3 linked regions of the Rhinolophus ferrumequinum genome follow. The protein of the gene in region 2 interacts with the protein of the main gene of each other region in a pairwise test. Links are inferred from orthologs where the notes say so. Each region holds a gene or a part of one and is shown on either strand. Other genes may lie near its edges.

What was found.
Region 1: the proteins of HAX1 (region 2) and IL1A interact in binary tests that used the Homo sapiens proteins (3 or more experiments, as listed by UniProt). The link is inferred for Rhinolophus ferrumequinum from reciprocal best matches to the Homo sapiens genes HAX1 and IL1A.
Region 3: the proteins of HAX1 (region 2) and SAV1 interact in binary tests that used the Homo sapiens proteins (3 or more experiments, as listed by UniProt). The link is inferred for Rhinolophus ferrumequinum from reciprocal best matches to the Homo sapiens genes HAX1 and SAV1.

The regions. Positions count from the first base shown.
Region 1 is NW_022680356.1:83,007-91,035, reverse strand, and holds the start of IL1A (interleukin-1 alpha), read right to left. Parts: upstream 3,101-8,029; 5' UTR 3,026-3,100; intron 2,436-3,025; 5' UTR 2,428-2,435; coding exon 2,381-2,427; intron 1,426-2,380; coding exon 1,377-1,425; intron 603-1,376; coding exon 380-602; intron 1-379. UniProt on the Homo sapiens protein: Cytokine constitutively present intracellularly in nearly all resting non-hematopoietic cells that plays an important role in inflammation and bridges the innate and adaptive immune systems.
Region 2 is NC_046305.1:52,944,867-52,952,234, reverse strand, and holds HAX1 (HCLS1-associated protein X-1), read right to left. Parts: upstream 3,008-7,368; 5' UTR 2,806-3,007; coding exon 2,753-2,805; intron 2,055-2,752; coding exon 1,795-2,054; intron 1,617-1,794; coding exon 1,429-1,616; intron 974-1,428; coding exon 922-973; intron 776-921; coding exon 669-775; intron 550-668; coding exon 459-549; intron 323-458; coding exon 237-322; 3' UTR 40-236; downstream 1-39. Other genes in the region: UBAP2L (ubiquitin-associated protein 2-like), read right to left, coding at 4,590-4,685, 5,507-5,557, 5,971-6,168, 6,935-7,002. UniProt on the Homo sapiens protein: Recruits the Arp2/3 complex to the cell cortex and regulates reorganization of the cortical actin cytoskeleton via its interaction with KCNC3 and the Arp2/3 complex. Slows down the rate of inactivation of KCNC3 channels. Promotes GNA13-mediated cell migration.
Region 3 is NC_046289.1:41,598,871-41,606,260, reverse strand, and holds the start of SAV1 (protein salvador homolog 1), read right to left. Parts: upstream 3,029-7,390; 5' UTR 2,649-3,028; coding exon 2,555-2,648; intron 399-2,554; coding exon 1-398. UniProt on the Homo sapiens protein: Regulator of STK3/MST2 and STK4/MST1 in the Hippo signaling pathway which plays a pivotal role in organ size control and tumor suppression by restricting proliferation and promoting apoptosis.

The sequences.
Region 1 (8,029 bases), on a different chromosome or scaffold from region 2:
GTGTGCATTTTTCAGTAGAGGAAACTGAAGCACAGAAAGGTCAGTAACTTTCCCAATGAGGCACAGTTAGCATGAGAAGCAACATGGCTTGTCAGTGTCACCCGCCAACAGTGTGTAACCATTTCCTGCTGAAGGGCTCGAAGTCACATGACCTTTACAGTATGGCCGTGAAATGAGCATGTGAGCAAGTATCTTAGACCCAGGCCAGGCTGCTTTCTCCCCATTGCAGCATAGAAATTAATTTTCCTTCCTGATAGTTACTAGACTAATGCCTGGCTGCCCTGTCACCCTGATTCTAGGTTTTATTTGCCCTTCTACTCTATTGTGCCCATTTGCTTAAAAATGGCAAACAAGGATATCACGGCACATGGCCCCTTACCTTCTTCTGGGTCATTGGCAACAGCTTCCAGCTCGTCATCAGTGGGGACCTTGTTGAAACTCAGCCGTCTCTTCTTCAGAACTTTCCCATTGCCTGCCACCACCACCACGCTCTCCTTGAAGGTAAACTGGGAAGTCTTAGAGGTCTCCTTGGTACTCAGAGATGTAAATTTACCCATGCAGTCCTCATGAAGTGTGTCATAGCTTGCGTCGTAGAAGGATTTCTGTGAGGAAGGGAGGTGGAGACTGAGAGGCTGTCTGTGGCTATAGGATGAGACTCCTTTTGTGGGAGTTTTATTCAACGGGCATAGTGAGAAGGATCGCCAGTGGGGTCTCGGCTACCCACCTTTCTTCAGTCATCCCCTCCTCCTCCCTCCTAGCATTTCCCTGGAAGGATACCATCTCTTGGCCAGTCTTTGTCATTTATCTGCAGACTCAAAAATGAGATACAGTGAAACAGGCTAACATTGAGACTCTCCAATAGTTCCCCCTTAGGAAGTTAGGCTTAGGACAGGGCTCAGACATGTTAGAAATACTCCTCTGGGAATGGCTTTTAGAGCCAGTACCAAAGACACATAGGAGTACTTGTGAGTGGCCTGCTTGGTCCACCTCGGCTTCCTGGGCTGTTACGTTGGAGGGTTGTCTCTGATGTCTGGAGCTGGCATCGGAGAGGATGACCAGAACATATCTTTAGGTGACAGACCCCTGGAGAAGTGGCCCGAAGGCTCTGTCTCAGGGTGGCAAACTAGCATCTGATGAAGCAGGGAGACTCCAGTCCTTGGGGTGCAGGGTAGTTGTGCTCTATTCTGGGAAAATCCGGCAAGTGTGGAGAATGCCATCAGCCCTGTCTGCCTCACTTATAATGAAGACATGCATGTCTCCGGACATCTCGAGATGGCACAGCAGAGGCCTATGGGACTGAAGCCATAGCTGCTGTCCTCCCGTGGAGAAAATATGACTGTCAGAACAGCCACCCTAAGAAGCAGCCATTTGCTTACCTGATTCAGAGCGAGCTGGTCAATTTCGCAACTGTATTCTTCATTTTCACTGTCAAACAAGATGATGAGAATGTCATTCTGTTAGATCACAATGGCCACCAGGCAATGTATTTTAATAACCTCATTAGCTTTGGGACACGTGTGTGCACACACGGACACTCCTGCCATCTTTGAAAATGAACGACTTCTGTACATACGTACATAGAGTAATCTGTACCTCGCTGACCTGGAATTAGTCACCTTCAGGACAGGCCTTGAACTTTACCTGTGCTTTATCAACAGAAACAGTGCTTGGCTTACAAACAGGAGTTGTAATTGGATTTCAGCTCCTCAAGAGAAAAGTTCTGCCGAAGCACCTTATTTAAATTCTGACCAAATAGACTACATTACTCATTGCTTTCATGTACTCACTAAAATGGATTTAGTAATTTATACCTGGCAAAACACCCAAACAACACTTGGATGGCCGAGCGTGTGTTAGTGCATATTAGCAGGTAAAGCAGGTAATGAGAACATGTTGTTGAAAGTGTTTTATAATTTACACCTTTTATTCACTTACGTTCCTCTTACATCTGACTAGGTTTGAGTGTGTATGAGCTCCCGCGTGCTCGGATTGCTGTGGAGCCATTTTCCTCTCCAGATTGAGAGCAAGGAGTTTCCTGAGGGTGGTCTCTCTCTAAGAGGCCTTTAGAACCCCTTACTGTACCAGACCGAGCATGTGACCCAGCCCAGGCTGTGTATGAATAGACGCTGAAATTCGCTAGGACTCAGCAGGCCTTAAAAAACACGTTTTTGGTAATGGCCGTCTTCCTGTCAACGTCACATCCGTTTAACATGCTGGATGCTTGGCTTCCCTAAGCCTTTGCTGAGCCTGCTCTGACTTTGGAGGTGGGACCATCTCTATAGCGTCTGCCGGTCTGGCCCCATGCTGGTCACTGCACCTCCTCGCTGGGTGGGTTCTAATGAGCCTGGGTCCCCTCATCAGATCACAGTCCATTTCCTACCTGTAACAGTTCTTCAGGTCTTCAAAGAGGTCGGGGACCTTGGCCATCTTGACTTCTGCAACGGAGAACACCAGCGGCTGTCAGCCTTGATGACCTCTGAACCAGACACCTATGAGGGGAACCACCTCTGCTTTGTGCTTCTTGGGCAACTTAACTCATGGCATAACCACATTCAGCATGTTCCCCATTCTTTTCACTCCCTTGAACCATTTGCATAGGTGTCTGCCTCCTCTAGCAGACTGTACGTTTCTTTTAGAATTTTGGTATCCCTTAGTGCCCACACAGTAGGCACTCAGTCAAGTTTGGCTAAGTTCAAAAACCCCACAAGAAGGAGGCATTTGCCTCACTCAGATGCAAGAGAGAGGCAGACTTGGGAAGTTCCAGTTTTCTCTCGGCAGTTTTTGGAAGTGGAGTTCCCTCTGAGGGAAGGCTTGGCTGCACCACCGGCCACCTGTGGAAGCAGTTCCCCGTCCCTCAGTTCCCACCAAGAGGAAGGATCATTTTCTGAAATCCGATTGTGATTCTAACTCACACACAGAACCAGGAGGGAAGAGGCTTTAGCTTCAGAGAAGGCAGTTTGAGAGATAACAGTCAAGGAGAGAAACAAAAAATATTTTAAAAGCCAAAATGTGACCAGGACAGTACCTTTGCCGACTCCGGTTCCGGGAGGTGAGTCGGCTCTGCTGGAAGAAGCGGCTGCCTCCGCTCCTGGGCCTTTTGTCTTCTGTGCAGTGGGTGTGGCCAGGGTGCGTCATGGGAATTTACAGGGAAGGATCCTGATTTGCATTTCTTTTACGTTCATTCAACCTTATACTGGCCAAATGACAGATTATAAACTTGATAATGTTATTTGCAGATATTCCTGCAGTTTCTGACTTGGTTCATTTATTTATTGTTTTGCTCTAAACAGTTATAAACACAGTTTTAGAGAAAGGGAAGAGAAGCAGGAAATGTAACAAGTTTCTAAAAATATATGGTGAGAGAGGAAGGAGAACTGCTAAAATCAGAACTATGGGTACTAGGGTTGGAGAGCAGCTTAGGAGCTGTAGTTTGAGTTTTGGCTTAATTTGTTTATGGCCCCCACAACTAAGTATGAATTGATAGGTACTTGGCAGCTAAGGTGTGGGTTTGCTTGAAGAAGCATAAATCAATCAGTGTGGGGACAACCTCCTGCTCGGGGCAGGTTAGAGGACAGGAAAGTGATGTCAGCCACACAAGTTCTCATCCTTTTGCTCCTCTGCAGCCCGTCAACCCACTTCCTACAAAGGGACAGCTTAGGAGAGAGCTCTCTGCCCTGGCCATGTTACAGCTAAGTGTCCCTCCACCAGAACCCCAGGACAGACCCCAGGTGTGTGAGGGTAGCTGCAGACTCATGGAGGGTGGGCCGAGCCCCGCCGCAGCCAGTGGCTAGCTTCAAGGACAGAGTTTGGGGGGAAAGGAAGGGACTCAAAATAGGACACTGCATCAGACTTTTTCAGCATTCTGAGGCCAGCCCAGGTCAGGTGGTAGAACACCAGACTCAGCATGTAAATGTTTCAGTTTTCTTGGTTGGAGTTGAAGCCATGTAAATTTTAACCAACGGAAACTGATGGAAGAGCGTGGAGGAAGAAAGGTGAAGCATGGCAACATGGTATGAAAAGCCCAAACGCACCGGACTGGGAGTAAATGGCCTGTGTGAGTTGGGTAAAGTGTTTTCTCTGGTCCTGTCCAGCAAAACAGTGGATTTGGGTAGATGGTCATTAAGGTCTATCCAAGGCACAAAGTCTCCAATTCTGATTCTGTGCCCAGCCCAGGTCCTCTGGTTATAGATCTGCTGTTTCAGTCATCAAAGACAAGGGCCACAGAGAGAGCTGGCATCGTGGACGTAGGGCCAGATGGGGGCAGAGCTTGGTGTCAGTGCGATCACTGTATGGACGGTGATGGCAACCAGCTCTTCACGTCTGTGCTTCCCCTTCAGGCAACACAGAAGTGTTAGCGCTGGTCATGCTGCCTCCCGGAGGTCTTGTGAGGACTATTACTGAGAAGCAGTTGCAGAGCTCATTGTGAACGAGGGGTGTGATGGAGAGGGGTGCAAGTAAACAAAAATACTACCAGCACTAATGATGGCTTCCGCACTTGGGAACCTGTATCGTCATCACTGTAACACCTCGTTTCACTGAAGGAAAAATAGGTCGTATGAAACTATTGGTTTGAGACTTCAACAGGGAGGACATTTCAGGTGAAGGCCTCTGTTGAAACTGTGAGGATGTTTAGCTTCTGAAAAGGAGATGTAGCACCTCTTTGGTAATCTGGGAAAATACCGTTGGTTCCACCACCAGAGGCAACACCCATCTCGCCCATTGGCACATCTCTGCTGTAGAGAATTCCCCAGTGTGGTAGTGGAATTTTTCAAGGAGAGTTTGAAATGTTTTTCTAGACAGACAACTGAGTCTGGGGGTCTTACCTAACTTTGTCCTTCATGTAACCTTCTTGGAAATAGTTTTTTTTGGATTTGTTTTTTTGTTTTTTGGGGGGCGGGAGGGAAGGGGAACAGGACTTCATTGGGGAGCAGTGTGTACTTCCAGGACTTTTCCAAGGCAAGTTGTTGTCCTTTCAGTCTTAGTTGTGGAGGGCGCAGCTCAGCTCCAGGTCCAGTTGCCGTTGCTAGTTGCAGGGGGAGTCGAACTGGCAACTTTGTGGTTGAGAGCCTGCGCTCCAACCAACTGAGCCATCTGGCCACCGGGGAGCTGAGTGGCAGCTCATTGACTTCATTCTAGTTGCGGAGGGTGCAGCTTGCTGGCCCATGTGAGAATCGAACAGACAGCCCTGTTACCCAGAGCTCGCGCTCTAACCAATTGAACCACCCGTCCACCCGGAAATGGTTTCTAAAGGAAGAGCAATGTGGGTGAGGGGTCCTTGCTTGGTTTGGGGGAGCCTACTATTCTGTGAGTGTGAACCAACGTGGACTTGTGAGGAAGCCTCAGCACCAGGCCACCATTCTCCAGGGAACGGAGAGAGGAATGGACCAGGTGGCTCTCCACTGGAGCCCCTAGGGGTTTGGGGCTGTCCTGCGACAGGGACTTTGGGTGGCTTCATGCGCCCACCTGTTGACTCTCAGGAGGCCTCGAAAACCCTTCTTGAGTCATTTTTACCTAAATCATTCAGAAGAAATGATTGTGCACTTATTCAGTGGTGGGCATTTTACTAGGCGTCAGTATTTTTCTTTCATGATTCACAGCATTGGATGTGTGAGATGAGGTGTGTTCTGGCAGGTGAGTGGATGTGCGAAATGAGGTGTGTGCTGGTGGGTGAGTGGAATCTGTTACCACGGAGGTCTTGGGTCCAAAGACCCTTGTGGATGCTTTTCCTTGGAAACGGCTTCACAGTTCAGAGCTGTCCCCTGCACTGTGTCGCTGACGCCTCGCTTCTCGGACGAGACAAAGTGCTTTCTGTCCCATTCACCGCTGAGGATGCTGAGGTGGTTAGGTGAGGAGCCTAATATAATATAATACCGGGTCTTATATTAATTTTTGCTACAAAAGACACATTAGAGCCGATGGTCCGGCTCGGTCTTATTTTCGGGGACACAGGGTAGTATGTCATGTTGTTTAATCCTCTATCAGATCTGTGAGCTAGCATTCTCACCACACTTCACAGAAGAGGAAGTCTGGATGGAGGGATTAAGCCATCTACCTAAGGGCACAAGATGACCAAGTGGCCGAAATGGGATTCAGACGCCAGAGTCTTTGTCTTGCTAGTCTTCCAGAGGATGCTGTGTTGGAGAAGGAGGCACCTCAGATGCCATCTAGATTAAACTCTTACTTTATAAAAGAGCACACTGGCTCAGAGAGAAGTAAAAAGGTCCTAAGGTCCCATGGAGAGCTCATATGAGAATGGGAGCCAAAAAATGAAAACTCACTGTACTTGATTTCTAGTTCAAAATGTCCTCCTTCCTAGAGACACTGGCTCTTCAGTAAAAAGGTGAAGAAATAATCTCTCCCATGGCTTCTCACCCATAAGTAAAAAAGGAGCTAAAGAGCATGAAAGCCCATTCAGTGAGCCAAACTGGCCATGGTTCCCACTCTCCTGGGAGCTGACAGTGAAGTAGGTAAGCACGTGCTGCTCCCAGACAAGGAAGCACTGAAGGATTCATCACCACCAAACCAGTACTGCAAGAAGCATAAAAGGGACTTCGTTAAGAAGAAGAAAAAACTTAAGAAATATGAATTAAAAAATGGCAATAATGACATATCTATAACAATTACTTTCAATGTGAATAGATTAAGTGCTCCAGTCAAAAAACATAGGGTGGCTGAATGGATAAGAAAACGAGACACTTACATATGCTGCCTACAAGAGACTCACTTCAGATCGAAAGACACACACAGACTGAAAGTAAAGGGATGGAAAAAGATATCGCATGAAAAGGGAATTGAAAAAAAAAAAAGCTGGGGTAGCAATAGTTACACCAGACAAAATAGACTTTGAAACAAAGGCTATACATAACAAGAGACAAAGAAGGACCCAGTAATCCCATTTTTGGGTATTTATCTGAAGAAACCCAGATGCTACTTCGAGGGGATGTGTGCATCCGTATGTTCATTGCAGCATTGTTTACAACGGCCAAGATGTGGAGGCAACCTAAGTGCCCCTCAATATATGGATAGATAAAGAAAAGGTGGTACGTATGTACGATGGAATAGTTTTCACCCAAAAAAAGAATGAAATCTTGCCATTTGCAACAACATGGATGGACCTGGAGGGTATTGTACTGAGTAAAGTAAGTCAGACAGAGAAAGACAAATGCCATAGGATCTCACTTATATGTGAAATAAAGAACAAAATAAACGGACAAGCAAAACAGAAACAAACTCATAGATACAAAGAGCATTCGATGGTTACCAGATGGGAGGGGTGTTGGGGGCCTGGGTGAAGAAGGGAAGGGATTCAGAAGTACACTTTGGTAGTTACACAGTCGTCATGGGGATGGAGGGGATAGCTCAAGCACTGCAGTCAATAATATTGTAATAGCTCCTGTGTTTGTGTTTCCCCCTGAATAAGACCGGGTCTCATATTAAGTTTTGCTCCAAAAGATGCTTTAGGCCTTAAGTGCAGGGGATGTCATCCTGAAAAATCATGCTAGGGCTTGTTTTCCGGTTAGGTCTCATTTTCGGGGAAGCACGGTATGTATGGTGTCAGATGGGTGCTAGACTTTGCAGGATGATCACTTCATAAGTTATATAAATGTTGTACATCACTATGCTGTACACCTGAGACTAATATAATATTGAATGTCAACTATAATTGGAAACTAAAAAAATTATCTAAAAAAATTAAAAAACAAAAAAGCACACACCGAGGTGAGAGTGGGGAGGGCATCTGACAGAGGGGCTCCTCTGAAACTGGGAGTGGGGGCTTCCTTGGGGAAGGAAGAGGGAATGATCCAGGCTGAGCACAGGTCGTGGGGTCAGATTAATGAACGTAGGGCACGAGTCTGTCGCCCAGAGAGGGAGGGACTGAGGGGTAGGAGGTGAGGTCTGGAGGAGGGCGAGAGCCAGGTGGGCAGGGCCTATGTAGACCCCACCAAGGCCTTTGCCCATTTCACTTTGGAGGCACTTTGGGCACGTGCTCTGGGCCTCGGAGAGCAGAGATCCGAGTGCTGTGGCCTGG
Region 2 (7,368 bases):
ATGGTACTAGAAAGTGGAACAGCCTTGACAAAACCAAGATTGAGGAATTAGCATAAATAAAGGTTTTATTGGTCAGTTTGGGTGAGTGACATACTGACATACCCACAGTTCTACAGTTCACTATTCCACACACCCAAGAACCTGAGGTGGCAGGAGGAGAAGCTAAATAAGCCCACTGATGGTGAGCAAACAGTGGGAGGTGGAAAGAACTGGAAGGCCTCTGAGGGTTAACAAGGTTACTGGGACCGGAACCAACGGCCTAGGAATAAATCCAGGATGGAAAAGGCATCATCCAGGGCTGGAGGTGTTGGTGATTCTGGATCTAAGGAAGAAAGTGATACACACAGACATTCTAAATGAAAGACACAGGGCAAACGAGAGGAATGCTATTAAAGGGTAGAAGAATAAGTACCAAGGAACTAAAAGATGAATCACTTTGATTCACGCTCTTCACTTACCATCTCTAGGGCTGCCGTCTGCTTCCTGATGGGTGACTGTGGTCTCTGTCCGGCCTTCACTGTCCACCACAGTTCGGCGCTCCTCTACTGTCTACAAGGAAAAGCCCCCACGACATTCCTAACGTCACTAAGGGTGAGTCTGCTGCTTTCTTTACTTAGATCACTCTTTCCAGGGCATCCGGTTCCCTTTACCCTTCTCTCCCAACTCACCCCATCTGGCCGAGTGATCTTGGTCACAGAGACGCTCTTGAAATAGGATTTGGGCTGGGGCTGCAGAACTGGGCCGAGGCCCTCCTGGGAAACCTTGGAATCAAGATCTAGAAGGGCAGAGAGAGGAAACAGGAAAGAAAGCGTCTAAGAAAAAGAAGGGGACAAGCGTGGCAGGAAGAAACTTCAGGGAGGGAGAACAGAGGGAACTCCTGAAGAACAGAGGGCTGGTAATGTCCTCTCTCTCCAGACTCACCCTTATCCTCTCTGGCTCTAGAATGGGGGGTCACGGGCCACATATCATCAAACTGCAGAAGAAGCCAAAGTAGGTGATATGACACCTTTCACTCTGAAACTTGAGGAATCACAGGAACCCAAACTATTCTCAAGTTCCAAAACCACCTTTCCCCAGGAGAGAGAATCCCATTCACAGCAGCTTTATTTACTCATCCCGTTCTCCTTCCTAGCTATTTATCCTTCTTCCAAAAAAGCCTTCCTGAACTGATACTTTTCTGTCCTCCCCCAACAATCCTGCCTTGTCCAAGCATCATACGGACCGGTGTTGTTGTTGTTTTTTTTTTTTTTAAGAAAAAGCAGAATTCCCATTTTCCCCCAAAGAAAATCCTACAAGAAGCTTAGTATAGAAAACAGATAAAAACACTAAGTAGAGGGCCTAGGATTCCAACCCAAGTCTGTCAGATTCCAACAAGGACTATTCCAGTGGTCTCCCACGGGGTCTCACTTCAAGCCCAGATGTACTCACCCTATGAAAAGGTCTCTGGGAGCCCCAGTCTGGTGCTGGTTTGGGGGAGTCAGTTCTTGCATCACTCTCCGAGGCCCCCCCAAAGATCTTGGGCTGGTGACTATCTGGATACTTAAGCATGGAGTCCCGAAGCGTCTGGCCTTCCTGCCGTCTCTCTCCAGGTATCTCTAACTCAGGACCTGGGAGTTCTGCAGAAAGGTGGCAGGTGGAGGCATGCTGGGGTGGGGAAGGACTTGGGACCTTTTAACTCCCCTTGAAATCATCAGTATTCTCTCACTTCCCACCCCCCAACTACTCTGCAGGCTCCTTATTTCACCCACCACCCCAGTAGAAAACACAGGTTCTCCCTCAGGGGCAGCCACACACCAGGAGGACGGGCAGGCAAGGTCCAGGCCCCCATCTCGCTGAAGATGTTATTGAAATCCCGTACAAGGTCATCAAAGCCGAAGTTATCGTGGAATCGCATTCCTCCTCCTGGGCTGAAGCTGAAGCCGAAGGCAAAGTCCTCAGGGGGCTGGGGACCCTCAAACCTCGAGCTCCCATGGCCCCAGGAGGCTCCTTCTTCTTCTTCCTCATCATCCTCATCTTCATCTCGAGTCATCCCTCCAAAAAAGGGATCTCTGGGGCTGGGGGTGGAGGCAGATTAGCTACCAACATTTCAGCACTACTTAAACCATAAAATCAACTCATGGGTGGCAAAGTGTAAGGTAACAGGTGCCCAGGAAGCTGAGGTGAGGGTTAGAAGACTGGCCATCGCGGTTTGGTTTTTAGTTTTTAATCAAAGTCAGTCCTCACCTCACGGCTGCCCCCAGACACCTCCCCTCGGCTTTTCTCCAGCGTCCCCCAGCTCCTCCCCTCTCCCAAGGTCGTGCTCACTTGCTCACAGTCTTCTTACCCAGAGCCCCATTGTCTCCCTCCCCACCCCGGGCCCTGTTGCATCACCCCAGATGGGGGAGACGCTTAAGCTGCCGTTTCTCCTCCTCTTAACGACCGCTTTGGTTACTTCTCGGGGTGAGTGCTCAATGTTGTGACTTGTCTCCTTTCCGCAAGAGTTGAAGGAATGGGGAAGAGGATGTTTTTTCCAGAAACAGGGTGTTAGGGGTCAAGGTCCCCTCAGAAGACCCCACCGCGTCCGACTCAGACCTATTCTCACCTCCGAGGTCCAGAAAGGCCGAAAAAGTCCCGAAAGAGGTCAAAGAGGCTCATTCCCGCATTGCGATTCAACCACCAAAGCCCACCCGAGGTCCAGTCACACCTGGGGGTAGCTTGCGCTACGCTGTCCCCCGAAAAGACCACCCCACGTCCGACCCAGACCCAGTCTCACCTCCGAGGTCCAGAAAAGCCGAAAAAGCCTCGAAAGAGGTCAAAGAGGCTCATTCCCGCATTGGGATTCGAACCACCCAAGCCCACGCAGGGCCCATTCACACCTGGCGGTAGCTTGCGCTACACGGTCGGAAATTGACGAGCGTCAGGCTACGCTGCCGGAAAGCAAGCCCGCGATCAGGACACTGTCGTAAAACGACCGTAAGCGGACGTGGGTAGGGGCGGGGCGGACGGTCGTCTCACACTCGAGAGGCTTTCTCTGCGCCGCACCTGCTTCCTGTGAGGGGTGTGGGCGTTGTGAAGTTTCCTTTTCCACTGATCACCTGCCTCCTAAGCCGATTCTTCTTGCCGACGAACCCGATAGGTATTTCGAGGGTTTGACGATAGATGTTGCCGGATCAAGCCGCCAGAGGGCAGCCCATCCGCGCAAACGAACGGGCCCCCGTCCCGCCCTCGCCACACCCGTGGACCACCAGTCTTCCCCCTGAAGCCACCTCGCCCGTTTCTTGACTGACGCACGTCCAACAGGGGTGGACAAAGTATCTGATCAAGCTCCCTCTAGTACCGAGTTCCCCAGGGTTGAGATGGACACGGGGACGCACGCATTCACTACGGCCGCTAAGGAGTTGGTCATCGAGTGTTTTCCTTCCAGGCAGGCTGCGCAACCAGCAGAATAAAGGCTTTGTGGGGGAGCAAGGGAAACAGTGAAGTCTTCGGAGGGAAGAATTCGGGGCTCTAAGTCTCCCCCTTCCCCTGTCACTGACTTGCAAAGCCTCTCCCACCCCAGCCTCCAGGTTGGGTGCACCTGGGGAACGAAAGCGCTGGCCGGCGCGAACTGCCGGGGTCTCCTCCTCCTCCAGCTGGGAACCAAGCTTGTTTGCCAGCAACAGCGCCCCGTACCCTCCTTTCCAGTTCATTTGCCTGGACTCATCCAAGTTACGCTTTGACTCTACAAAGCCATTTCTTTCAGCTCCTTCTTAATCCTCTCCCTACCCGCCATCCCACTCTGTTTACTGCCCGAAATCTGCCACAGATGAAGCAGTTTTGGGAGGAAATGAAGATTTGTGATGGATCTTTCCAGGCAACAGGCTGTGAAATTCTTAGGGGAGAAGGGAAGGGAATCCCCTCGGGCAAGACACTAGCACATTAAGGTCAGGAGTTGTGAAAGGGTGAAGATTTCGTTTTATTCCACTGCCTTCGGGGCCTGCTAGAGGCCTGGATGGTAGAGTAATACTTATTCACCAAGCTGGTCCTCGAGGAGACTGAGGATGCCCTAGACGAAGCAAGAATGGGCAGAGGCTGAAGGTAGAGGTTTTCTTTTTATATATACAAGACACATTAATCCATTAAATTTGAGGACACAGTACAAAAAAAAAAACAAAAAAAAAACACTTCAACTAATTCTGACAATGCTGTTCATATTCATGACGCCATTTTTTGTTGTTCTGTTTTGTTTCCTAATAATAAAGGAGGAGACATAGGGCTGTTGGGCTGATATATATTTGGGGGTCCCCCTCCCCACCTCACCCATACACCACCAGGGTGAACAGGAGAACGAAGGGCAGGGCCCACAGCAAAGTTTCATAATCTTGAATGCAAGGGGGAAGGAGAGGAACCAAAAAAAAAAAAAAAAAAAGAGAAAATACAAATTCTATAATACATAGAACAGAGTGGGGATGGTATGGGGATGGACAGACATGAAGCTGAGGCATGGGGTGGGCCACTGGGGGTGGGGGGCAGCAGAACCCCCCCACTCCTTTCTCTCTGATGTTGTTTCCACAGTTGCCAGGCTGAGGAGCCCTCTCAGAAGATGGGGCCGGGAGGAGAGGGTCAGGGCCTCAGTTGGCCCCCCAGCTGTAGCTGTTGTAGGCAGACTTGTTGCTCTGGGGCTTCTGCGGGATGGAGCTGGTCTGGCTACGTTGCCCGCTGCCCGTCTGCAGGGGAATGGGAGGATGATGGGGAGGAAAAAGGTGTCTAGTTAGTGGGACAAATCTGTGACATCTTCAGGTGGAGAGTTGGAATCATCGTGCTCTCCCATTCCCCTTGCTTAGAAACTACCATGAAGCTTCCTTCTGAACCATAGAAAATCTGGTTTGTACAACTGCTAGCGCACCTGACAACAAAGCACTTTCAACCTTTAAATAGGGGAAAGGGGAAAAGAAGGGCAAGATACCTTTAGAGATGAGACAGTGCATCAGTTCTACTCATTTCAATACCCGCCCACCCCGCCCCGAGAAAAGGCTGCTCTCTAGAGAGAATCATGGCCTCTCCGAGATGAGTGATCACAGCTGATTGCTTTCCCTTTCACGGATTCCCACAGGAAGGCCTCAATTTGGAAAGCTGTCTTTGAGAGCAAAGCCCTTATTCCAGCTCCCCAGCCAGCAGGGTGGAGGAGAGGTCACTCCCACCACCCCGTGGCTCCCCACCCTACCACGTTTCACATCTGTGAGCCCATTTCAGGCAAGGCAGGAGAGACAGTCTGAGGCCCCAGGCTCCAGATGTTGCCCCAAGAATCCTTTCCATTCCGGTAACCAAGTGTTTCCAGAGTCAGGGAAGGGTGGAAAGAAAAAGAGGGCATTGAGGAGGGGAGGACAAGAGAGGAATGGGAGGCCAGAGAGCTCAGCAAGGTGTTTGTGTTTGTGTGTCCCGGTGTGTGACTGTGCAATCTTTTCTCTTCAAGTTCCCTGAGGCTGTGATGGTGAAATGGGGGCTGAAAAGGAGTGGGTTCAAGCATATCATCATTCAGTTTCATTACCTGCTCCTCCTGCTGGCGCTGGCAACAGAGAATCATCTGCAAATATGGTAGCTGAGGCAGAACCAGGATATATGGAAAATAAAGGGACAAACTTTGACAAGAGAACTCCACCATTAGAAGGGAAAGCTATAATGTGAGGGAGGGGGAGGGCTGGGAGAGGTAAGAGGGGAGGTGTGACCCAGGTCTGACAGGAGGAGGACAGCTGTGCTACGGGAGGAGGTGGAGGAGAAAGGCCCCAAAGGAACTGGGCAAAAAGGGTTTCACTCTGGCCCCTTCTCTGCTATCTCCTTTGCCGGCCACTCGTGTTATGTGCGCTCGTGTCTGTATGTGCTGTGTGCCCATGGCTGGCGCTGGGGAGGACTGGGTGGAGGGTGGTGGTGAGGAAGGGTGAGAAAAGGAAAGGGGAGGCAGCTTTAAGGGATAGGAAGGAAGAGGAAGGGAGAGGAGAGAGGGAGGGTTATTACCTGGCCATCCTGCTGCAGGTGGTGGTGAAGGATCTGGGAGTGCGGCTGCTGATGGGGGGTCAGGATGTGCATAAAGGGGGCCGGTGGATAGGCAGCAGCTGTGGCCGGATTGATGGGCCCCCCACTCCCTAGGGCTGAGGGCAAGTTGAAGGAGGCAGCAGGAGTACCGGAATGAAAACCTTGTTTCTCAAAGGACTGCTGTCCGGGAGGACGGGAGAGAGAGCAGAGAAGGCATCAGCCAATGGACCCTTGGAATTTCTGAGCCCAAGCTCTCCCACCCTCAGAAAGCAGCTCGGTGTCACAGAAGAACAGTGCCCTGCCCTGTAATAGCTGTGTGAGCTCTCAGCCCTCGTGTTCTCATACATAAAACAGGGATGCTGCCGACCTCTCAGTTGTAAGGACTGAATGAGAGGATGGAGGTGACAGCACTCTTATCAAATCTAACGTGACGTACAGGTACACAGTGAAATCTGCTGACTCCTCCTGATATGTCCTACCAAACTTCTAATTATTTATGGTGGCGGGAGAAGAAAGCAACACAATACAAATCTGTGGATAATTCAACTGCCTCACCTACTTATTGAGTCGTCTCCTTTCCCACTCAGAGAGAGACTTACAAAGAATGCAATGAACTAGTTTCCCTTCATTCCACTCGTTCTCTCGGAAAGTTATGAAAAGGCTGGGAGTGGGTAAGTAAAGGGCCAGGACAGTTGCACAAATCACATGACACAATTACCACAATTTTCCACACCTCATACCTCCCTATAACATTTCTCGTTTTTTCCCCAGATGGCTAAATTTAAACTTTCTCAAGCAACCGAAGTCTAAACCATCCTTCTCTAGCAGGGTGGGTTTCCTGACACCTCTCCTAGGGCTGTCCCGGCTCCCTGGACTTGTCATTGCCACTCCACCTCCTCTACGTCCACCTCTCTTTTTCCACTTGTACCCAGAGCCAGGCACCTACCTGGGTTTTGGAGTACACAGAACCCGAGATATCTGGCACGCCCGTGTTACTGGAGGTGACTGATACACCTGGGGGAGGAGGAAACAGACAGGAGGATTAGCTCACTAGCTGCCTGACCCCGCTCCCTGCAGCCTTTCTACCTCTAGCACTGCAAGGGGATTTTGGTCTGTTTTTCCAGCTTCAGGTCAGTCCTGAGGGATAAGAGCTCATGACACAAAGGCTCAGGAAGGGTTCTCTTGCCCTTTCCAGGTGTGTACTGAGCGTATGTGTGAGAGTGAGGTGAGTTGTTTTTGGAGGGAGCAAGGGGATATAGCCAAACTGCACTGGCATATAGCTTTCAAAATATCTCTGTGGCAAAGCCCAACACAAACGGATTGCACTTTTAATGTCCGTATCAAATCAATCCACCCAAACTTCACTCAGTCCTGCTCCAG
Region 3 (7,390 bases), on a different chromosome or scaffold from region 2:
ATCGTGGTTGTATTCATAATATCTGTAGTCTTCATGTGTACGATCTCCAAGTGGGCGTCTTCTCTGACCATCAAAATAATTATCTGAATAATATCGGGAACCAGAGTCTCCATTTTCAACAGCAAAATTAACTTCTGTTAAAAATGACTGAGAAGAGCCATCTTCCCGAGGGACATCTGCTAGACTCCTGGCAAGATAAGAAGGTGCAGATAATCTGTTGCTTTCTCTTCTCATTACTTCATGGGGTGTTCTTTGAATTGGAGTTCTAAGGAAACTCTGGTTTCTTGAAACTATTCCATCTCCAGAAGCTGAAAAGGCATTAGGGCTTGAGTCTGGAAGACAGATATCAGTTCGTCTTGGAATTGTCGGACCATGCCGGATGAATGAAGGCATGAGATCTATAATGAAACAAAGAATAAAATGACCACTTCAATAAGTAACAAATACACTTTTTCAAAGTTGTTCATTTACATTTATCACCCCCAAATGCAAAATTTCAACAGACTTAAGAAAACACAATTAAAATTTGTGATTTCAGATAGTACTTGGATATTTTAAAATTGAAGCTGATTAACATATTTCCACTCAAATGAAATTTATAATCTCATCATAAATGTGTAGAATCAAATGTATTCTGCTTATAACCATACATAACATGAAATATCCATAAGCTTAACTATGAAACACATACTAATGAAATACGAATAAAGTGTAAAAATAGAAAACAATCTAATAAATGGATAGTTACCAGCATAATTTAAGATAATAGCTTGTTTTATTGATTTAACATCATTTTCAAAATTCCTAAAAATCCTTCTTCAAAACAAACACAATTTCAAAAATAAAAACAGAACATATGCTATTCCCAAACATATAAAGGGGAATTCTTTAAAAACATTTTAAAATTATTAACCTGGTCTTTCTACTCCTGGACGTAGCACTAGTACAGTAATCAAAACCTGGAAAGCCAAAAATATAGCTATAGAAATAAAAAAATAAAAAAATTTCACAGTCACACAAAAGTTGAATTTGTTTTAAAAAAAACCCCGGCCAAATCTGAAACTATGGCTCCTTTAAGAATAAGTAATTATAATTCAAAACAGAAGATAACAGTAGAACAATGGCTCTTGAGGATATAGTACTTCGGAATACTTAAATAGCTTAGACATTCCTGGTTAGAAGGCAAAATAACCCTAAAACATGAAGAAAACTAGATTTGGAGACAAATTTTGAGGGCATTCATATTAAGCTTCAGAAGCAAACTCTAGACAGAAATTAATATCCAAATAAACAAGGCTCACCACTTAATGAAACTAAAATACTGTATCAAGTTACTTGCTTAAGAGTATAGCAAACATATTTTATGATTTCAAGAATCATAATTATCAAGCGATATTTAATTAATATCAAGCGAAATTTAATAAACTTTATTTGCAGCAAACTGCAAGCTATCATAAACTTAGCCTTTCAAAAACGAATGTGTAACTCAAAAACGAATTGTTAAAAAAAAGGTTTAAAAAATCAAGTTTCAGGTTACTGATGTACCCATCTGATCTAGTTTGCTGTTCTATAAGAAAGCACTGGAAATACAGGATAAATCTGGAAGGCTGATGATGTGGTTGGTTATAATGGAAAAACATGCCCTCCACCCCTTTCTGTGTGATCTTAGGCAAATACTAGGAACTCTATGAACAGCTTTCCCAATTATAATGAGGTAATGATTAAGTCACAAGGTTACCACAAGCTTCCAAGAAGGAAATTTTACACAAAGGGCCAGCATGCAGTATGAGCACCAATATACTAGCTCCTTACCTCACAAATGTTCTGAACACACGGCAAGAATAAAAACTTCAAAATATATCCTATTAAAGTTAAAAAAATACACAAACTTTTTGGTATTTTCTCCTAAAATATGACAGAAATAATTTTGAGTACTTTGTCTTTTTGGGTTTTTTATTTGAAGCAATTCTCATGAATATATGAGAACACCAAACACAGACGATTTTGGTTCCTCTACTCTGAGATTTAAGATTGAAAAGGCTTTGGATAGCAGCTACAATAGAGATGGTCAGCTTTCACCTCCTCGAGTTCTGCATCCCGCAGCAGAGCTAGGAATTCTTTCTACCCAAGAGTTTGCACAACTTCAAGCACCGGCGAGTGACACCCACAATGTTTGCAAACACAAGGCATATCTCGACGTATCTAGACGAGGAAAAAGTGTGCCCCGGTCTAATTACTTTTACTCCTATAGCATCAGGGGATCAGTAATTTAAGTGTTTCCCCCCAAAGAGCCTCTTTCTTCCAGTAAAACGAACACTGCCTTAAGAGAGCAGGGAAGTTTGTCATTTTTTTTTTGGGAGGGTGGGGGGCTTGTAGAGGAGGGGGACTGATCTAAGTTTCTTACTATGTCAGTTTCAAAGAACAAACACGACTTCAGACATAATGAAATTAAAATCACAACAACAGTATTTCACAGAGACCAGCAGGAATGCAAAGGCGCGGGGAGCCGCGGCCGCTCGGGACAGGTATGGGGTGTACCCGCCCTGACACTTACTCCGCAGCAGAGGCGAAGTCTCCTTCTTGACGTACTTCCCCTGCACCTCGGCAGGCTTGGACACTTCGTTTTTGGTTTTCTTTCGGGACAGCATCCTGGTCGACGAGGCTCCAGGCCGCGCCAAGCAGCCTCCCTAGGGCTCCGCGCTGGGCGCCGGCCGTCCCCGCCGCCACCTCCGCCGGCGCCGGCGCCTCCTTCCCACCACCGCCGCCGCCGCCGCCTCTCCGCAGCCCGGGGTCGCCCGCAGGAACTGCCGCATGTTCGGGGCGCTATGCGCGCCGGTCGCCGCTCAGTCGCTTGTCAGTTCCTTCCCGGAAGTCTGCTCGCTCCGCAACGCTGCCCGAGGACTCCGTGAGGAGAGGCCAGGGACGCCGGGCCAGGGCCACGGTCCGCCTCGGGCCGCCTAGTAACCTCTACCGCTACCGCCGCAGCCGCCGCAGCCGCCGCCTACGTCCCGTAAACTTTCCCCGCGGCCGCTGGGAATTCTGGGAAACTCGACGCAGCGCAGGCGCCGCCACCGCCCCTCCCCCACCCCAGCTCCGGGGCGCGGCTCCGGCTGCGGGACTCCGGGCCTGACTCCCAGCTAACGGGCTGGTCCCACAGCCGCCCCGAGGAGCAGCGGTCGATTCACACCTCAGTGAGGGGCAGGTCCCGAGGATGGGAAAGGACAAGTACGAAGATGACCAGACTGATCGCGGGAGGTCGTCGTGAGCGCACGCAGTGGAGCTCCCTCGTCCCACAGAGTTTTTTCACCAGGACTTTGAGGGAGCTGGTGACGCTCTCCGAGACGTGTTCCCGTCATCTGAGTGCAGACGTCCCTCTTGGAGTTTGTTGGGCTGGGACATTCAGGTCCTTCATAACGCAGAATGAGAATAGAGTTGGACCACAACCCCCAGGCTGGTGCTGCACCAAAAAAAGTCTAGATGCCTCTTTGTTGAAAACATTCATCTGTCCAATACTAATTAAACAAATATAAATCTATAATCTCCTGGGTACCAGGTAGTGTGTCTTTCTCATTAAGGGGAAGAAACGGGGGAAAAACCCAAAATGGAGTTTCTACTACCTCTTATTTAAGATAAATTTGATACAAGCATATTTTATTTAATCATCACTAGTATTATACTTAGTTGCCACAAACTTCCTCTTGGAGTTAAATATTACAGTCTTAGAATTTTGAGAATTTTGAGCATTAAAGGTCAAGACCTGCAATTTTTAATCTAAAATAGACCTTCCTTCTATATAAATTAGAAGAGCTGTCAAATGTACAGGGTGACATTTGGAAAATAAGGTGGGATCCAGCCCTTAGTGACCAAATTAAGTCTTTGATTTTGGAGAAAGCGTTCCCTGAGATCAAAAACATCTTAACAAGAGATGTAAAACAACTAACAGGCAAGGAATTTTTTACTACACAGTATTAGGATGATGGTCAAAAATCTGTTTGCCATGAACAAACATTTTACCTAGTGTCTGTCTCCATCTTTGCATGCTATTATGCTCCCTTGGTACAGAGTTCTCACAATTCATTCAGTAACGGACAAAAATTTATTGAGCACCTACTATGCTAGGCGCTATACTACTGATTGGGATGTAACAATAAAAACAGACATGAATCCTTACTCTTGTGGGAAGAGAGACTACAAAAAAGGAAAATAAGTAAAACATCTGTACATAGTGATAAGTACTGAGGTGAAAATAAAACAAAAAGAGGGCTTGCGACTTTAGTGTGATAGAATGACCAGAGAAGGAGACACTGGCGTTAAATGACCACGTGAGGAAATTGGCAAAGCAACTATCTGGAGGAACGGTATTCCAGGCAAGTGCAAAGTCACTGCAAGTCACCATGTTCCTAGCAGATTTATGTAGCTGGAAGGTTTATGTAGCTGGAGCAGAGGAAGAGTGTAGTGGGAAATCAAGTTAGATAGGTAACAATGGCTAGGGAACCTAGAGGGGGTCATTCATTGTAAGGAATTGCACTTTGAGCACCATCTAACTTAATGTTTTCAAAGGATCGCTTTGGATACTGTGTTGAGAATAGACTCAATGGGAACAAGGGTGAAAGGAAGATCAGTCAGAAGCTATTGCTGGCTTGGACCAGGGTAGCAGCAGTGGAAATAATGAGAAGTGGTCAGATTTTGGACATACAAAAACAGCCAACAGGATTTGCTGACAGATTGAATACAGAGTATGAGAGAACTCAAGGATCACTCTCACTCCCGCCAATCTTGGTAGAACAGAATGGAGCTCCATAGAATACAATAAATTGTACTCTGAAAGGAACATTAGAAAAGCAGTTACTTGTTTCTGTGGTTCAGATATGACGACCAGTACTGGTAAACTGGTGCTGGTGTGCCTGGAGAAGAAAGAGTAACGAAACAGATGAAGAGACAATAGGGTTTTATTATAGTTAGAGTATGAAGACAGGAGATTAGGAGGGAAGGGGATGCCAGCTAAGTGCCAGGTTTCTGCCCAGGGCTTACCTCAGAAGGATAAGAGAACAAAAGGATATTAGGTCCTAACCTTGTTAATAAAGCCAGCTCTTCACACCTGGGATTTTCCCACAAACTGAAATACAGGATACTTTTCACATTCATGGGGGAAAGAAACAGAATTTTATAATTAGAAAAGAATTCTGAAATCAGGTAGGCTAACCTCATTGATGTGGAAACAAAACTAGAAAAATTAAATATTTCCCTTATATTTCTGGCTAGTGGCAGACTAGTCTCAGAACTGGAGTTTTCTATTTGCATTTTGGGCCTCTTTCTGCTTTGGCACTTTAAGAATTCTACTAATGTGAGTCCAGAGTGTTTCTAACACAGTTGTTTTGAAAGCCATCCATGTTCCCCACAAAGTACTCCTTTTTTCAATGCTATTTTAATTTGAATTACAGCAGAGAGAAAGCCTCAATTAGATGCTCTTTTTAAGAGCTATAATTTGCCTTTTTATCAAACAGTGTGCATTCCAGAATCAACAATCTGCATCAGCAGTAGCAATGCATAGCATAGCAATATGTGAACTTGGAATCCAAATCCTTACCTACAGACGTTTTGAATTCACATCTGTTTTCTAGAAATTCCCGGGTTTCTGGGGGTTTTTATTAAGGAATCCAGATTTTGCAGCTACAGTTCTCCAAACATTGCTCTTGGTAGGCTAATACTATATATATATATATATATATATATATATATATATATATATATATATATATATTGCAGAATAAAAAAATATTTTTTTTTCCCTTGCAGTTGCATTCTCAGTGGAGAAAAGTGACAGGGAGTTACTCATGTCTTATCAACAACTATTTTTTCTTAATTTAGCATTAAAATTTATTTTAAAGGAGGCAGTAAGGTGTTAATCTGAGCTAACCTCATAGCTCTCTGGGCCTTAATTTTCTCATCTGAAAATGAGGAAATTGGACTAGTTGAATTCCAAAGTGCCTTTCAGCTTACAGTGTTGTACCATATAGGCAGAAGGAAATACACAAAAATAAAAAAGTTACCCTAGTAGGATAATAAGCATATAGGTTATTTCCCTTCTTTAAAAATATTTATCTTTATTGCTGTGTTTTCATTTAAAAAACCGTTAAAGCAAGTGTTAACTTATTAGCATTATATAGTCGTCATTAGTGTAAAATAAAAGTTCATGCCTGATTACTACTTTCAAAGAGAGCTAAGGTTCTTGCACTGTTTTTACTTTTTCTTGCTAGAATCGTGTAAAATTTAAAAGAATTATCAAATAAAGGATTGTCCAAGAAAGAATCAAATGTAAATACGCCCTATGTTATGGAGCTTCTTCAAAATAAATAAAAAGGAGAGGAACTTCTACTCTCCGACCCACTCTTCTTGGTCATGTAGCAAAATAATCTTTATATCAGGAAGAAATAATAATTATGCTAGAATCTAGGGCTATTCAAGCCTCCAAAATTTTGCTCGTAAAATCTGGGAGGATACATTCCTGAGCGTCCTTTTAGGCAGACGCTTTAGTTGTTTCTTATGAAGGATAAGGACGCGTGATGTATACACAGCTCTGAAAATATAAATGCTTCATATAATATTAGCAACTAAGTTTGGTTCCCAATCTCCACTATGAATCATCTCCCCTCTCCCCCTCTGCCGCTCCTCCCAAATAATGTAGAGAATTAGTATAATAAGTCTGTTCAAAAGGAGTTAAGCTGGGAAATTTGGTTTCCCTAATCTTTAGCTCTTCTTCCTATGTGCTGTTAATTGCCTGGATTTAGAGGTCCTCTGAAGCCTTGATAACTAGCCAAAATGAGTCTTTTATTCTTGGCAATGCTAGCCTTTGACTTCAGTTGGCTGTCCTTATAGGCCTTTCTGTGACTTTGCCTCTCTAGACCTACAAAATTTTATCTTCCAAAATGTCTTACCTTCAGCCACTCGACTTTATTTTGAACTACTCTTTGCAATTTTCCATTTTTACTTGGCTTATAGTAAGATTTAAAAAAAAAAAACAACTCAGTAAAAATTTACTTAGGGCTCTCATTATGGGGGGAGGGGCCTACTGATGTATATTTAATGTGGAAACACTTGTATCCCTTCCACACCACATGGGGGTCAACGGATACTCAGAAACCCCATCTCTCCTCCATCTGCCTAAACAAGCCAGGCCACTATTTCTCTTCTGCTTTGGCAGTTCCATGCTGATGCAAAGAGCCCCTGCAAAGATGATCTTCAAGAGTCCCAAGTGGAAATTGAGACAAAATATTCCCCCTTCTTCAATAGCTGTTGGAATTTCACAAGCCTTGTAATACTAGCATCTCACTGCAGCATGGGACCTACTCTCTCTGTGCAGTCTTTCTTCTCCCTGCCAAAATAAGCTACT